Linked DNA regions of Bombyx mori. The protein of the gene in region 2 interacts with the protein of the main gene of each other region in a pairwise test. Links are inferred from orthologs where the notes say so. Each region holds a gene or a part of one and is shown on either strand. Other genes may lie near its edges.

The links. The genes of interacting proteins can lie anywhere in the genome.
Region 1: the proteins of ralA-binding protein 1 (region 2) and AP-2 complex subunit mu interact in a two-hybrid assay, tested with the Drosophila melanogaster proteins (2 studies listed by BioGRID). The link is inferred for Bombyx mori from reciprocal best matches to the Drosophila melanogaster genes Rlip and AP-2mu.

What each region holds. Positions count from the first base shown.
Region 1 is NC_085114.1:2,144,716-2,147,410, reverse strand, and holds part of AP-2 complex subunit mu, read right to left. Parts: intron 1,267-2,695; coding exon 1,128-1,266; intron 1-1,127.
Region 2 is NC_085113.1:5,985,848-5,988,571, reverse strand, and holds the end of ralA-binding protein 1, read left to right. Parts: intron 1-806; coding exon 807-990; intron 991-1,355; coding exon 1,356-2,087; 3' UTR 2,088-2,180; downstream 2,181-2,724. UniProt on the Drosophila melanogaster protein: Participates in receptor endocytosis during interphase, is also involved in mitotic processes when endocytosis is switched off.

The DNA of each region.
Region 1 (2,695 bases), on a different chromosome or scaffold from region 2:
GTGGATCGGGAGGATCCGTAATGACGTGTTTTGGGCGATGTCGACTGTTTACCATTCGGTCCATAGAATCGGCTATGTAGTTATTACAACGCGCCCCCAATCACAACATAGGAGCACCTGAATGATATAACAATGAGGTTTTTAGAGAGTTTTAACTGTGAACGTGGAAGGCTTTAAAAGAAAAGGTCGACCTAAGAGGAAATGGATGCTTTGCGTGAAAGACGATATGTGTAAGGGGGGAGTGAGCGAAGTAATGGTATATGATAGATGTTGCGCTGGCCCCAGGTGACTGGGAGAAGGGCAGGAGAATGATGATAACGAGAACGGCCGACGTGCTACATCAAGTCTCTTCTTGAAGATTAAATAGTTTGACATCTTTGAACGTGTGTATGTGATAAAACCCTTCTTGAAGTGAAACTTCTTTAGAATCGTGATTTCAAACTCGATGAAAGGAAAAAATAAGTCCATAGACACAAACATATAAATGTATAGGATTCAGCCGGCGAGAGAATGAGATAGAACACATTAGACGTTCTCGGTCTCCTCTTTGTGCGACTCTTCGTAGCATCCCCACCATCGTCTACTTAACATTGTCCATATGTAAGCTCCTGTGTAATGGGATAGTCAGTATATCTAAGTCAGTATATCTATATCTTTTTTTTTTGCATAGATGGGCGGACGAGCTCACAGCCCACCTGGGGTTAAGTGGTTACTAGAGCCCATATACATCTACAACGTAAATGCGCCACCCACCTTGAGATATAAGTCCTAAGGTCTCAGTACAGTTACAACGGCTGCCCCACCCTTCAAACCGAAACGCATTACTGCTTCACGGCAGAAATAGGCGGGGCGGTGGTACCTACCCGCGCGGACACACAAGAGGTCCTACCACCAGTAATTACGCAAATTATAATTTTGCGGGTTTCATTTTTATTACACGATGTTATTCCTTCACCGTGGAAGTCAATCGTGAACATTTGTTGAGTGCGTATTTCATTAGAAACATGTCGCTTAAACCAAATGGCCTTTCACTTCTCGATATGTGATTTTTATTAGCCCCTTATTTTTAAGCACAACTCTCTAATGATTTGTGTAGCTCGTTGGTCGTGCACAACAACAAGGATCACCTTGAATCCGGAGGGTGCAAAGGGAACTTCGAACCCCATGGAGATGGGCGGGCGCGTCCACTTCTTCTTGGTGTCGGTCTCGAGCAGCTCAATCTCCGCAGACAGCTGGGTCTCCTTCATGCCCGCCATGCGCTTGATCCTGAACATTTTCAAAATTCATTTAAACCGTTAGCACGATTACCTACACCAAAGTATATTTTGGAACGAAGTTCCTTATGGGACGATGCAGAGGGGTACCCTAACCGGGAAAAAACGTCCGTAACGTAAGATTTTTATTATTTACTAGCAACCCGCCCTCGCTTCGCTTCGGAAACATTAAATTTTATTATTGATAGTTGAGTCCCGCAACGTTACCCGTGGTTACTGTCGTACTGCGGGTGACGCCGCGGGGCGAAGCTAGTCTAAAAAAAACCTAAGTTACTGCTTATATCATCAGCTACCTATCAGTGAAAGTCCCGTCAAAATCGGTCCAGCCGTTCCAGAGATTAACCGGAACAAACAGACAGACAGACAAAAATTGTAAAAAATGTTATTTTGGTGTATGTACCGTATATAACTAGTCAGGTCAGAAGTATTGTCACACAGTAAAAACTTTTCTTTTAGAATGCTGGCCACAAAAAAGTTTATTGAATTCGAATTTCGAATTGTTCATGAAAATAAAAATGTATACTTTTAGAATTTTACTCATTTTTAAATATGGAGTGGACGCTTAAAGAAGACCGTGTTGCAGTTATTGCGTTGCATCGTTGCGGTTACGCGCCAATTCAAATTTTTAACATACTGAAAAATTTGAATATAACCAAAAGATTCGCTTATCGTACCATCAAACCATACAATGAAGACTCTAGTGTAGATGACAGGTCAAGAAGTGGTCGCCCTCGGTCTGTTAGGACTCCAGCAGTGATAAAAGCTGTGAAGGCGCGAATTCAAAGAAATCCCAAACGTAAGCAGAAACTGTTGGCCCTTCAGATGGGGTTAAGCAGAACCACGGTGAAAAGGGTGTTAAATGAAGACTTAGGGCTTCGGGCATATCGAAGAAAAACAGGACATCGTTTGAATGCTCGTCTAATGGACCTGAGACTGAAGAGATGCCGCGCTTTGTTGAAGCGGTACGCGGGAAAAAAATATCGGGAAATTCTTTTTTTCGGATGAAAAAGTTTTTACCGTAGAAGAGAGCTACAACAAACAAAATGATAAGGTGTACGCACACAGTAGTGAAGAAGCGAGCAACCGTATTCCGCGTGTCCAACGAGGTCATTTTCCATCCTCGCTCATGGTATGGTTGGGAGTTTCTTATTGGGGCTTAACAGAGGTACATTTTTGTGAGAAAGGTGTAAAAACGAATGCAGTTGTGTATCAAAATACAGTCCTGACGAACCTTGTGGAACCTGTTTCTCATACCATGTTCAATAACAGGCACTGGGTATTCCAACAAGATTCGGCGCCAGCTCATAGAGCGAAGAGCACACAAGACTGGCTGGCGGCGCGTGAAATCGACTTCATCCGGCACGAAGACTGGCCCTCCTCCAGTCCAGATTTGAATCCGTTAGATTACAAGATATGGCAAC
Region 2 (2,724 bases):
GCTAGGAGCCCATAGACATCTACAACGTAAATGCTGCCACCCACCTTGAGATATGAGTTCTAAGATCGTCTTTTCGCATAAAAAGTGTACAATTTCCAAAATTATTCGAAATTGAGTTAATATGCGGAATCATTTGGTGTCACCAGTATTTTTCTCATAAATACTGTCAAAAGAGCGTAGTTTCGTTTTTTTTTTGTTTACCTTTATTTTGGCTACTATTGACAAAATTAATACATAATTTTATCTTACTTTAAAAGACAGATAATGTAATTGGAAAAAATATAAAAAATAAATGTTGCAAATATGTTTAATATTAAAAATATCACATGTTAAACCTTTAAAACATTCTCCTGTAAAATTAGTAAGTTTTGAGATTCTTCTTTTTCTCCACCCTATCCCACTAGGTGTGGTCGGCACAGCTAATTTTTCTCTTCCATTCTCTTCTATAAGCCGTCATCTCAACACTCACTCCTCTCTCTCTCTCTCATATCGTCATTCACACACTCCATCCATGTCTTCTTCGGTCGACCTCTTCCCCTCTACCTTGCACTACCATTTCCATACATCTACTAGTCACATGCATCTTCTCTCTACGCATCACATGTTCATACCACGCAAACCGTCCGCTCCCTAATTTGTTGCTTACCGGGGCCACTTTCACACTTCCTCTGATATACTCGTTCTTTATTCTTTATTTTGAGATTATACAGTTTTAATGCGAGAAGACGATGGTATTCGTACACTGTGGAAGTCAATCGTGTTCACATTAGTTAAGTACGTATTTCATTTCGTTGTATTCGTGACAGATACGTGCCGCCTCTCCACTCGCTGCCGGCCGACTTCCCCGACTCCGCCGCCGAGATGAGCGCGGAGCTGCGGAAACAAGAATCTCTTCTCAGTCAGATCCACGCGGAGATGCACGCCGGCTTCATAACGGCCGCCAGAGATCAACAACTATGGGAGGCGCAGCGAATTGTAACACAACTCAAGGTAATGTTAGAACCCGTAGTACGTCTAATGAATACGCCTCAAGAGTTATTTGAATTCACACTCGTTTTTTATTTATTTATTGCTTAGATGGGTGGACGAGCTCACAGCCCACCTGGTGTTAAATGGTTACTGGAGCCCATAGACATCTACAACGTATATGCGCCACCCACCTTGGGATATAAGTTCTAAGGTCTCCGTATAGTTACCACGGCTGCCCCACCCTTCAAGCCGAAATGCATTACTGCTTCACGGCAGTAACAGACGGGGACAGAATAGACTCACAAGAACTCTTACCACCAGTAAAATTTGAATTTTATAGAATGATTGACTAATAGTTATTATCGATCATTGATGTTTCGTTACAGCGTAAACTTCGTTCGGTACAAAAGTCAACGGAGCCTAACGCGGTGCCCACGCAGCAATCATCCGTAGACGAGAAGCAACCGGACGAGGAGACTACGCGAGTGTGCTCGCAGCCGACCGAAGCCGAGAAGCCGGTCCGCGAAGTCGAAAGGCCAGGCCGCGAAGTCGAGAGGCCAGTCCGCGAAGTCGAGAGGCCAGTCCGCGAAGTCGAGAGGCCAGTCCGCGAAGTCGAGAGGCCAATCGACGCGTTCGAGCCCAAGGAATCGCCGCTCGACCAAGACGCGACCTTCGAGGCGGAATTCGAAGACAACTTCGACTTCAAGCCGGACAAAAAAACGACCACAGATGAGACACAAGCTACGGAACCCGTCCAAGATAAACCGAAACTCACCGAGAAAGAACTCAAAGTGCTGCGTCTCGAATTAGAGAACGCTGAATACCTGCAACTGAAGTCGTTGTTGCAAGCGAAGATCAATTCGGAACAATTCGAGATTGTCAAGCTGAGGAGCTACGTCGCTCTGAAGAACAAACAGGAATGCAACCTACAGAATAACAAAGATGCCAAAGAAAACTCCAGCGTCGACGAGCAAGAGTTAAAACAGAGGCTGATGAAAGAAAACGCTTTGCTCGAGCAGAAAAGACTGAATTTGATCAACCAGATCTTTCAAGAGAGGGTCGCGTGCATCCAGCTGAAGATAGAGCTCGCGATGAAAGAGATTCTGTCTAAATCATAAAATCTTCGAGTCTCGAACTAGTTTTAAGTTTATTTATGCACTTCTATTCCATGTAACAAATGTAAATTAGTAATAAAACCAGTTATGAACTAATTCTTTGTTTATCTGACGAAGGCAAAACGTGGACTAGCTCCGTTTTTTTTTTTTTTTTTGAATTGAACATATCAAAAAAATATTGAGGGAGTCCATATTGTATATAATTAACACCACAGTTGACACAATAGGAGTTCTAAGTTATACACATTATTATTTTTTTGTCCGTTTAAATTTTCGGCGGTAAAAAGGTCCAGACTATCTTCTTTTTTCCCCTCTCGTGCGTTCCGACTTACGCATCATAAAAAGGTGCGTTCTTAAACGCCATAATATGTTAGCAAAATCGGATCGCAGCAAAAATATAAAATCTTTCAGAAATTATTAAGTGTCAAACTTAGTTGCGTAATAATTATCCGAACAAAATGTACATTCATGACATCACCGATAGATAGATAGAGGGCGTAGGCGAATGATAAGTGTTGATTAAAAAGAATCGGTTTTATTAATTCCTATATTATTTTACAACCTGTTTTTATTTGATTGTCTATTTACAAATTGATTCATTTTTAAACGCTGTTACGTAGTAAATAACGTACATTATTAA